Caenorhabditis elegans: one gene and its partner. The protein of the gene in region 1 purifies or fractionates together with the protein of each later gene. This does not show direct contact. Each region holds a gene or a part of one and is shown on either strand. Other genes may lie near its edges.

What was found. Proteins that work in one complex are often made in the same cells at the same time.
Region 2: the proteins of phb-2 (region 1) and T10F2.2 fractionate together in Caenorhabditis elegans (co-fractionation; one large-scale study listed by BioGRID). This does not show direct contact.

The regions. Positions count from the first base shown.
Region 1 is NC_003280.10:6,249,761-6,256,405, reverse strand, and holds phb-2 (Mitochondrial prohibitin complex protein 2), read right to left. Parts: upstream 4,996-6,645; 5' UTR 4,992-4,995; coding exon 4,865-4,991; intron 4,820-4,864; coding exon 4,683-4,819; intron 4,573-4,682; coding exon 4,363-4,572; intron 4,282-4,362; coding exon 3,871-4,281; 3' UTR 3,626-3,870; downstream 1-3,625. Other genes in the region: dbd-5 (uncharacterized protein), read left to right, coding at 380-425, 832-1,412, 1,680-1,742, 1,814-1,891, 1,948-2,028, 2,160-2,288, 2,689-2,794, 2,870-2,958 and 2 more; T24H7.2 (Hypoxia up-regulated protein 1), read right to left, coding at 5,789-6,010, 6,065-6,193, 6,236-6,645. UniProt on the Caenorhabditis elegans protein: PHB proteins are essential during embryonic development and are required for somatic and germline differentiation in the larval gonad. A deficiency in PHB proteins results in altered mitochondrial biogenesis in body wall muscle cells.
Region 2 is NC_003281.10:5,161,697-5,167,163, forward strand, and holds T10F2.2 (Mitochondrial ornithine transporter 1), read right to left. Parts: upstream 3,616-5,467; 5' UTR 3,596-3,615; coding exon 3,361-3,595; intron 2,992-3,360; coding exon 2,437-2,991; intron 2,380-2,436; coding exon 2,264-2,379; 3' UTR 2,063-2,263; downstream 1-2,062. Other genes in the region: gars-1 (Glycine--tRNA ligase), read right to left, coding at 1-402, 450-581, 1,845-1,928; ulp-1 (Sentrin-specific protease), read right to left, coding at 4,583-4,750, 4,953-5,031, 5,108-5,467.

The DNA of each region.
Region 1 (6,645 bases):
CACAATCAACTAGTAGTGTTCTTGGCAAGTGTGACCATAAAGATGTACAACACCTAGTATATTCTTAATTAACAATCACGGCATCTTTCCCCTTGTCTTTCAAAGCAGCTTCACACCAGTCTCTGTGTCGCCTAGATTATACTAGAAATTACACATTTTGCCCACGCACCGTTACAGAGAGAGAGGCCCGTCGACCTTTTCCAGTGTTCCTCTCCCTCCGCCTTCTCTCTTCCAAAATCTTCTTCACCAGCTTCTCCCGCTCCACGTCTTGGCCACGCCCCATTCGGCTTTAGTTAGCAGTGCTGGGCTGCCCACTAAGATCCGGTCTTGCTAGTCTATACCTTCTTACCTTTCCATTTTCTCTCTATCTACCATTATTATGATCTACCGATTTGTGGCAACTGTTGCCATATTGGCAGCCAACGGTGAGCTCTAAGTTCTATTATAGGTTAATGTAGAAAGTTTAGTTTCAACCCATAGTTTCAGTTATCCACTGAAAACACGAATATATTGCATTTCTAGTACCACTACCATTTTCAAAATTTGAAAATTATATATTGTCTTTCTGTTCCGCACCCCATCACTCAAACTTGAAAGTTTTTTTTCCGTTAGACTTGAAAATATCCGTAATCTTTCTAGAATGAAACTAGAATAACAGATAATGAATTTATGTCAGTTGACAGATTTAAAAAATTCTGATATAGCTGCCACATGGTGCAAGACTCATAGTTAAATACGGTAGCATATTTCCCAAAAACATTACCATCATAATTGTCAAGAAAATATTCAGTTTGAAACTTAAAAAAAACGTTTTTTAAAATTTAATTTCAGCTCACTGTCAATACTATCAATGGCCAGAACAACATCAACAATTTAATAATTTCAACGGATTCCCGCAATTCCAACAGCAACAGTTTCAACAACCACAGCAGTTCCAGCAGCAACCACAATTCCAGCAACAACAACAAAATTATCAGCAATTCCTAGCTCAACAACAGTACCAACCACAATTCCAAGCTCAGCAACAGCCTCAGCAACCACAATATTTCCAACCACAGCAACAGCAGCAGCCTGTACAGTACCAACAACAGCAACCACAGCAACCACTTCAATATCAGCAGCAACCACAACCAGCTCCACCACCAATCTACTCACAAACTGTTGTTATCCCACAAGCTCCACCCCCACCACCAGAGGCTTATCAGCAACAACAATATGGTCCATCTCAGCAGAATCCAGTAATGGTTCAACCAGCCGATATCCCAAGATATCATCAGAAGCCTCAGCCAGTTCCACAAGTACCAGATGTTGCATTCCAACATGTGAATACTGCTAGAAGTGTTCAACAAGTCGATTTTGATAATAAATTGTTCCGAGAGCAACCAAATTCATTCACTCAAAACCAAGAAAAGGTAATTATGGCACAAAATTGATTTTATGCACCAAGTCAAAAAAGTTTCCTCCAAACTTTAATTTAATTTTGTTTAAAACTATTATTTTGCCAAACAGGATGTTTTGGATATGATTGAGAAGTTCGAACCATTAGTTCAAAACCTGGAAATCAAAAAATACGACACCAACTATCCCTCCTTATTCACAGATTTTCATTAAGTTAAAAAAGTTTATTTCAAATGTTCTTTGTTGATTCCTCTGATTCCCTTATTTATCTTATGTTGCAGATCACTCTGCTCGCCCAACCACCACCACCTCCGGCACCTCCAGCACAGACTCAGGCACCACTTGTACGTGCATGTTTCAATATTTCATCTATATCACTCACTTCACTGTCCTTGTCGATCCTCATCATTTTCAGATCCGTGTCCCTCCGCCGCCAGCCAGATTCATTCCAACTTTAAAATCTCTGTACAGTATTGATCCTCCACGTCCAAAGGTCCTTATTTTAGTTTTGTGATTTCATTTCTTTAACCAATTGTAACCATTCTCCAGAATCCATCTTACAAACCCGATGAAATTATTGTCGATGGTCATCGATCTTATTTTGAGGATACACAAAGAACAAGACCACAGGTATTATTTTATTTTAATTTCCTTAATTTTTATTATCCTTTTGTCGTTCTCGTCCATATTAATCATGTCAAATGTTACAGTTTTCAATTAAAATAATAATAACAGTAATCATCGGATTTTTCAATTTTTAGTCTACCAAGACCCGTGTTCAATCAGTAGGAGGAAGCGTTCATTCAAGTTCTGCCAATATTCCACGAACATCTCAACCAGCCGCTGTTGTATCTCCACCACAACAACGTACATTTGTCAGACCAAATGAGGTAAAAATAGTTGTTCTAGATGCAAAGTTTTGCGATTTTGCGTCAAAATTACGATACCCGGTCTCGACGCGGCAAGAATTTTTTGAATGCGAAAAGGTGCGCGCCTTTAAAGATTACTGTAATTTCAAACTTTCGTTGCTGCGGAATTTTCATATCAAGACTCATATCGTAATTCGACAAAAATATTTTTGTTTATCAAAAAAATACTATAAAATTTTAAAAAATACTATAAACAATGGATGAAAATTCCGCATCAATGAAAACTTGAAGTTACAGTACTACTTAAAGGTGCACACCTATTTGCATTTAATTAAAAATTTGTCGTGTCGAGACCGGATACCGTATTTTTGGCGCCATTATGTAATAATAAGAGTTTATAAAAGCTCTAACTAATTTACAGCAATTCCAACAACCCCGTGTCGTTCGTCCACAACCACAGCAGCAATTGACACGTCCAGCTCCAGCTCGGCCGCAAACTAGAAGACCTGTTCCACAGCCACAACAAGGTGAGTATCTAGATGTGAAAACTCATACAGATGAAACTTCATGTAAATTTTTTTCAACTCTAATTTCAATTTCAGCAACACGACCAGCTCCTCGTCCAGTTGCTCCAAAGAGCCATTTGGCACAACAACCTGCTCCAGTGACTGCTCCAGTTGCCAAGCCAAGAGTAAGATTACACCTCTTAATTGAAATCTGAATTTTAAATTTTCAGACTGCCAGTGCAAAATTCCTCCAGTGCTGCAAGGGACGTAAGGTGCATAATTCTTGCGAACGAATTTGTAGTTTTGATGTTCTTTCGAAGAAAGTTCTAACTGGAATGTTCCTTGGAACTGATGCATGCCCACAACATCACGGTCTAGATCTGATGCAGTGTGCTGCTGATAATGATGATCACACTGCATGCTGTATTGATCGAGAAGTTGATAAAACGTCTGCTGGAAAGAAATGCCTTGGATTCTGTAACATGAAACCGGGAATTACATTCCAGGTAATTATAATGAAATTATCTTTGTTAATTAATTATTTAAGGCTGATGTATCGATGCTTCCATGCTGGTCTGTCCTCAACGATATCAAGCAATGTTTCAAGGAGAATTTGGAACGACAACTTGCTGCCCTTTAATACTAATACAATTGAAACTGAGCTCTCTTCAAAATGCCAACCCCCACTTCAATCTAGTCCTTGCCATGTTAAATTATTACTCCGCCTTCCAATTTATCTTTTTTCTAATTGAACCGGTGTTGTACAATTTTTTGGTTATCAGATTGGTTTCATTTGAATTGGACTTGATTGTCACTCTGGTAACCAAAAACGTTAAATGTAACATACCTAGCGAAAAAGTGAAATGTATTGAAAATAGAAAACTATTAAAAAGAATGAAGAAAATTCATGATGATTCTCTTTTCTATTAATTATTCGAAACAAAACAATAACAAATTGATGGGTTGAAAGAAAAACTAAACTACTATTTTAAACAAAAAGAGAGGGATAATGCTAAACGGGAAATTTTTAAAAAAACATGATTACAGTTTCCAATTACTCATCAATGCGGGTAAGATCAGATTCAGGAATGACTTAATTAGCGTCTTTTGTCGGTCACATTCAAATAGTCGGTGTCGGCAATATTCAACATCAATCCTCCTGTTGGGAGATAAGTCTTGTTTCCAGACTCAGACACGATACGAGCAATTTTTTGAGCAGCACGGATTTTTCTAAGCTTCAAAAATCCTGGATCGTTCTTCATGGCCTCTCCCAAAAGTTTTGCAGACTCAGCTTCTCCTTCAGCTTGAACGATCTTCTCTTGCTTCTGTTGCTTAGCACGTTCAACATAGAAGGTTGCTCTTTGTGCTTCCTGTGCGGCAACTTGCTTAGCTTCCACAGCTGCAGAGTATTGTGGAGAGAAAGCGAGCTCGGTGAGGGAAACATCATCGAGGATAATGTTGAAGTCAAGAGCCCGCTCGATCAATGTTTTGCGAACCAACATAGAAACCTATAAAAACCATTTTAAACGAGGTGAAACTCAGCCAGATCATAACCCATAATTTTCTAAAAATTTAAATAGCTGATTTACCTGTTGGCGTTGAGTGATAAGTTGTGAAGCATTGAATTTGGCGACAACTCCTTTAAGAACTTCATTGCAAATCGATGGAAGAACACGCTCTTCCCAGTTTTGTCCGAGAGTTCTGTAGATATGAACGAGATGTTCAGGATTTGGTCGAGAGAGAACACGGAGTCCAATGTTGACCATTTGCAAGTCTTTCGATCCAGTTGGAGAGCGAATCTACAATTTGAATTATGACTGATTATCAGATGAATACTTTTTCGCAGGAATACTTTTAAAAATAAGTGTTTAAATTTTCAAAACCGCCACTATGAAAATTGTATACGTACCTGGTTTGGTCTGGCACGGATATCATAGATGATTGGATATTGGAACCATGGGATTCTGAAGTGAAGTCCTTCCTTGTACAAATCCGTCGACAATCCTCCAATTCTGTTGAACATGATAGCTCGGTGTCCAGCTTCCACTGAAAACAATTAATTTGATCGTTATACTTAATATAAATAATTACCAGTGAACATTGACTGGGCGACACCGTAAACGGCGGCTCCGGCAGCAGCCACGAGTCCTAGACCAACTCCAGCTCCTCTAGCATTTTGAATAGCCTTCTTCATTGCTTCTTGCCCTTGTTTCGCCATTTTGCTGCAAAATAGACACATTATGATGACTCAAAAGAAATATGATGCAAAAATCGTTTCAAAAGAGAACAAGGTTAAATTCATGAGTTGATTAGCATGATAACAATAAGAATGAGCATATCAATATGCGTAAATTTTTAATTTAAAAGAAATTCGGCTTTGAATTATCAAAATATTCAATTTGGATATCATTATCTTACTTATTTTAAAAACGAAATTTGAATTATGCGGCATTGAAACCGTTTTTGTGCCGCATTGCTACCATATAAAAAGTAAACATGGAAAATACAAATATCTCGAATATAACCAACATTCATTAGATAAAAATCATTTTCAGAGCATAAAAAACAAAGAAAAAGCGACTTGAGAAAGAAGAGAAATACGCAGGGAAACAGACGCTCTGAGACCTACTCAGGAAATACCATGCGCCTTTAGTTCGTTGAAGAGGCAATGCAAGACGCAGAGAGGCGCAGACACAATGTACGCGGTAATTCAAAAACAGTAGTTTCGCCAGCAAAATTTGTTGTAGACATAGAGTACCGATATCGGCCGATAACTGAATTACAAGCGTTTACAGACAAATATTTTTATTTTTTTTATCAAAGAAGACTACAAGAAAACAAAAAAAAATACAACCATGGGAGTAATCACCATCATATCACATTCGAACTTTTAATAAATTAAAATCCCAAAGCATTGGCAAACATGAGAAAAAGATTGAACAAGTATTTAGAAACGAGTAAAAAATATCCCGTTGGAAGAGAATGCTCCAAATGATAATATAATTTTCAAAAAATTTAAAGCTCGGTCTTTATCTCTGACTCGTTTTCTACTTTCGACTCGTTTGCTTTCTTCGTGCTTTTCTTTTCCTTCTTCTTGTCTTGTTCGGCTTTTTTCTTCTCTGCTTCTTCTACAATGGTGTCGATATCAATTTTTCCGTCTTTGGCAAGATCGTCCAATGTTGTGATCTTCTTCATTTTCTTCATGAATCGATCTACTTCACGGTTCAGATTTTTGGTCTGAAAAATAAAATGATTAATTAGTATTCGTGTTTGTAGTTCATCTCAATGTACCTTGGTGTCAATATCTTTTCCAGTGAAGTTGAAATCATCTGTTTTCTTCTTCAAATCTAGGTGTTTCCGAACATCTGTGACCCAAATTTTCAGTTTGTCCAATTTAGATTTCAAACCGTCACGGTCTTCCTGAAAAAAATATTGCTACACGAATTTAGATATATTCTGTACCTTTTTGAATAGTGCCTTCTCCTCGTCAACATTGTTACCCAAAGTGGTCAATGAGAAAGTGGTTTCCAGAAGAGTCTCCAAGCTCTTCAACTTCTCTGGAACTGCCTTGTCGTGTTCTTGTCTCTTTTTCACACTCCGTACAACATTCTTCAATTCGAGCAAATTATCTGTGAAATCCTTCGTTGGTGTATCTTTCGTCACATCGTCTTCGAGCCAAGCACGAATTCTTTTCACAGAATCTTCCAATTTTGTTTTCTCCTCATCAGCCATGTAATCAGTGAACTCAGTTTCTTCGAGATATTGTGAACATTCAAAATTGAAAGATTCCAATTCATTTTCCACCGCAGCTCTCTCGGATGCAAGTCGTTCTTTTTCAGCAAATGCTTCCATTCTACGTTTTTCTTCTTGAA
Region 2 (5,467 bases), on another chromosome or scaffold:
GTCAACGTGTCCAGAAGCTTTCAGAACTGGTTCAGGAGTGAGAGAAGTACAGTCAACTTCCAACATGCCCTCTTCAAGAATGAAATGTTTTCTCCATTCTTGGAGCATATTAGCCTTCAAGGAACATCCCATCGGACCGAAATCGTAGAGACCAGTGACACCACCATAGATAGCAAATGATTGATCATAGAAGAATCGTCTTTTGAGAAGATCCTCCAATTTCAGACGATCGAATGATGCTTCTTTTGGTGCCAAAGCAATTTCTGTGTCTTCAAGAAGTCTCTTTCTAGCCTTCAATTCAACAACCGCTTTATCGATGTCGATTTTTGGAGCACCTTTCGCCTTGAGATCACGGATCAGATCTCCATACTCTTTTACTGCAGCACGAAGAGGGGCGAGTTTCTGAAATTCGAAAATGACTGAAGCCGAGCGTAGAGAGAATGAAATACCGCTTCAATTTCCGGAGTAGCCATTTGCTTCAAATAATCCGATATTTTTTGCCTGGTTTTCTTCTCAAACCGCGGTGCGACTACCTTTCTGGGTTGAAGTGGAGTTTTCCGGTCACTTGGGACTAGTTCAACCTGCAAAAGCGATATTTTATAGAAACGGTTAACGATAAGTTGTGTTGCGAATCGGTATAGGTTCAAAAGTGGTAGAATCATATAATTTATTACTGATAAATCTGGTTAACGAATAAAATTGGAAAGCTCATAGATTTTAATATGCGACCTGCCGGTCCGATCGTCCGAGGGTAAAACCAAGAAGTGTTGGGGTTTGATGTGCAGGTATTGTAGTACTGTAAAACTCGTGTAGTGTGTGTCTTTTGGCGCGGCTTTCAAACAGGAGTTTCTTGGCTTTGTCGTCGTTGATGACTTCGGTAGATTGTCGTGAGCATTTAAAAAACGGACAGACTTCGTAATATTTATACTAATTCTTTAATATTTACTTAACGCATTTCCTTGTTATCAATATCATTTCTAAAGTCGTGATCGGCGGTATTCTGCATATTCGCGACAAGTTGTATTTATGTGGAGATTTCAAGTAATATTCACTAACTCGGCCTATTATATCATCTTTCGCACCGTAATAAATGCAAGCAAAACAACATTTATTAAAAGTTTATTAGCGGCTTCTAAATCTCTATTAGAAAACAAAATTCAGGAGATATGAATTAAGCATTTCGGAAAGAAAGAAAGTATTTAGTTTTTTTTTCAGAAATAAATTAAGAAAAATTGTAAAAATGCAAGCGCGCCCTATCAACACGAGAAAGAGATTGTAGACGGCAGAGAGACAAATCCAAGAGGGACGTGAAAGTTTTCATTTAAAAAAGCAAATTAAGCATAATGGTATTAGCATTAAAATTTTCAAAAAGCATTAAAACTTTCAAACCCTTTTCATATAATTACTGGAGAACCAGCGAAATCTAGCGAAGTTTTCAGGAAAAAAACATTGCGAAATTCAACACAAAGAAAATGAAATGCAAGGCTGTCAGATTTCATCATGTTTGAATTTGTTTGTACATGCACACCGTTTCCGCTAAATTGCGGATCAACAATAACAATTTCACACCATTTTTATTAATGATATTTACATCAAAGTTTGAAATTTTTGTTTTAAGCTTCTAAAAAAGGTATTAAAATTTTTTAACTTTCAGAAAATAATAAATTCTCACAGAAAAAGGAAAAACAATTTAGCCGATTGTGTCTTCAGTCCGATATACTGACGACAAGATTCACTTCCGCATGGACAACGAGATCATGCGCGAGTGTAAAAAGAAACAGGATTTGCCCAGCTATTCGTGATGAGACCTCAATCTCACTACCTAATTTGATATCTGTTCTCACCTTGAAAAATGAATTTTCCGATGAAAATTGTCTTATTAACCGCGAGTATCGGACGCTGCTTTTTAACCAGCAACTAGAGAACATGAACTGGAAGATTTTTGACTTTAGAAAGTTGTAGATCATTAGAAGCATTGGCCAGTGTTAGAAGCAGATAAATAAGTGACTATGAACAAATGTTCATTACATTTAGGATTTTTGAAGGTTAAATATAACAAAAAAAAACAATTTTTATTAAAAAATTTAGAAAACAACAACCGGGCGTAAGTGAGCCTATGGCAATCTCAGAGTAACCGTTAGAAACCGAAAAAAAACATTAAGAGAAACAACGAAGAAAGCTCTCATAGCATGATGATATTTGTGTGATGGAAAGAAAAAATGAGGAAAAATTGAAAAATTTACTAGGCAGAGATTAATATAATCTAGAGGACGTAGTGGAAGAACTTTCGTGTCTCTTCATAAGCGACGAAAAGACATCCAGAAGCGAAGCAAGTTCTTAGATTGGTTGGTAGAAGTCCTTTGTAGAGTCCACGAATTCCTGTAAAATTGAATTTTTATAAGAAATTGAATTAATTATCCCTCAATAATGACTTACCATTCTCTTTAACGACAGCGCCCAAAGTAGACATAAAAGTTCCTCCTCCGGTGACTTGCATTCTCGATTTAACGACATCTGCTGGATAAATGGATGTCCATAATGCCATACCACCAACTGATCCAGCCATTGCTGTCTTCACAAGTCCAATTTCTTCCTTTTTCTGTCCTTCATCAGTCAATAAGAAACGGCATGTTTCGTAGGCTCCAAAGAAGAAGAAATAACCAGGAACCTCTCTTGCAAGAGTCGGAGTCATTCCAACAAAGAATCCACGGACACCAGTATCCTTCATGATATCCCGACAAACAGAGAATGGTGTACACTTCTTCTTCATTTCACGAGCTGCTTGAAGTTTACATTTGACAAGTTCTGTTGGACAGAGTACGGTAGCTGCAAAAACTGCGGCAAGAGATCCGGAGAATGCATTTTCCAATGGTGTCATTTGTCTGACATCTTCGAGTCCATTCAGTGTGGCAATTGTTTTTTGGCAGTAACCATAGGCAGTGAAGAGAACTGCATTTTCAGCAACATTTGCAGCTAGAGCTGGGAGAGTTCCTGGATGTTGAAAAATATGAATTTTAGAAATCAAGTTACATTTAATTTTTCAAGATTTTTTCGATTTCATCTCGACTTCCAAATCAAAACTACGTTATTTGAAATAAAACGTTCAAAAAAATTGCTGAGCTTTCTGGAAGCTTTTTAGAAATTGTATTTTATTTAAAAAGAATCTGAAACTTTTGCAAAAAAAGGTTTTTTTTGAAAACACGTTATATTGTTCTTCCCAGAAAGGGTGAGAATTTTTACTTCAAGAAGTACTCTTTTTTATAGTTGCATGGAACGTGTTCAGTACAAAGGATTGTTTTTCTTTTTTTAGATTCAGAAATCCAGACTAAGCTCAAAATTTTCGAAACAAAAATAACAAACCAGCGTAAAGTCCTCGAATTCCGTCCAATTTATAAGTATCCTTGAGACAAACAATCCAATTTGAATAGAGATTCGGGAATGTTTGTACTTTTACTTTAACTGTATCTAATGGTTGTCCAGCATACACGTTGGCAATTCCACCAGCTGTTCCAGCCAATAAATCGATAATTCCATCTTTAAAATGATTGGCTGAAGCATCACCCGTTGCAGTTGTAGGTTCACCGCTTTCATGCATATTTCTATCTATTTTATTTTCTGAAATAACAAAAATTGGAAGAAATGGTTTTGAAAATTTCCAGAAAATTTAGATCACGATCATTTTTTCTTGTTTGCTAAATAGCTGGTTTTGTTGGTTTTTCGGACCAAAAAACAAAAAATTTAACTTTTGAGTCGTGAGGAGGAAAACAAAACGACAATTTCTTTTGGTTTTGGGAAGTTAAATTTTTTGTGACTTTGTGATCACGATGAGCACAATAAAGGAGGATTTAAATTTCCTCTGTTTAGAAAATAAAACATTGAATCTGTATAAACTTCAAAATATATAACCATGAGGTTGAAAATAAAACCAAGAAGAAAAAAAAATAAATTTCAACGAAAAAAAAGTGAAGAAATTGTATTTATTGCAACTTGCAATGGTGACGGGGATCGGGAGTGAAATATATTGATATAACAGAGAAAGCTGATTGATATTATTGAACTGGGAATTGAAAGGTGGAAGGGAGAGAAAATTGTTAATAAATACGTCAAAAATCAAATAAAACTCGGATAAAAGGAAGAATGAAAAAGAGAAAAGAGAAAAAAGGCCAGAGATCCACAGAGACAAAAAAATCTTAAAAACGGGATGGGAAAGTTTGCATCACCTTTTGAAACAAAACAACGTCATCTGAGAATGACCACGTGACAAGTGATAATGTGATGTGATCTGACACCGTCGATCATCTTTAATCTTTTGTATGAACATTCTTTACACGGTATGAAATGAAATCAAAAGTTATAATTAGTGATGAGAATCACAACGATATTTTGGATAATGAAGAAATGCTACGAAAATGGGAAATATGGTTAATTCGAAATACAGAAAATTAAAGACTTTCTAGATGATTCGGGCTTACGACACCGACAAAATATAAGTTTTAATTATGCCCAATGAGAAGAAAATACATTTTACAGCTACTTTTCCGGAAACAAAACTATGAATTATGACACTTTTAATCTTCTAGAATCAAATAGTTGCGAGTAACTTCTTCGAAACAATCTCGTAAACCATTCGCTTTCTGTAGTATGGCATATTTTTCTGCGTGAAGCGAGGCGTCGTTCGTCGAGATGCCCATTCACCGAATTGGCATGAGAATACTCCACAGTCACTGCCATTTTGTTGACGAGGAATGTCCTAAACAAGATGATTATCGCGTGTTGAAGATCTTTTTGTGTGTGTAATTTCAGAAGTATTACTGGTTGTTTTAGAGAGCATAGATATCAAAAAAAGAGTGATTGAGCCAAACATCTGGACTTCTAAAAAAAAACTTTTTTTCAGAAATAAATTTAAAGTAAAAATCCTTTTTTTTATTTAATTTTTTTAAAATTCAATATACCGTCATCTGTTGAATTGTCCATCCAGAAAAGTTCATTGCTGTCTTTTTCTTATCCAATGATTCAGCTTCCAAGTAACCTCTGAAATATAAAATATTTATTGATATATTCTCTGTGAGTTTTTTAAATAAAAACCAAAAACACTCAAAAAACTAACCGCAATGCTGGCAAAACGGCTGTATTTCCATCATAAAGAGAGTCATAAAACTCAATCTTCTTTTCGCCCATATCGATAACAGCCATACACCAATGCATTCCAAGATGAACTGGCACCAAAACGATGTCGAATGCAAAGATATCGACTTTTCTTGTCCATCGTTTCACACTCGCGTATCCTTTTGAAACAATATTGGAATAAAAGAATGTGTTGAATGCATAGATCTTTGGATATTTCGAATCGCCATTGCTCCGATCACAAATCAATTGAAGATAGAAATTGATGATCTCATCATTCAGCCAATGCAATCCACTCAATGTTGCAAGATCTTTTTTACAGATCTGAATGCTGAATGCATCC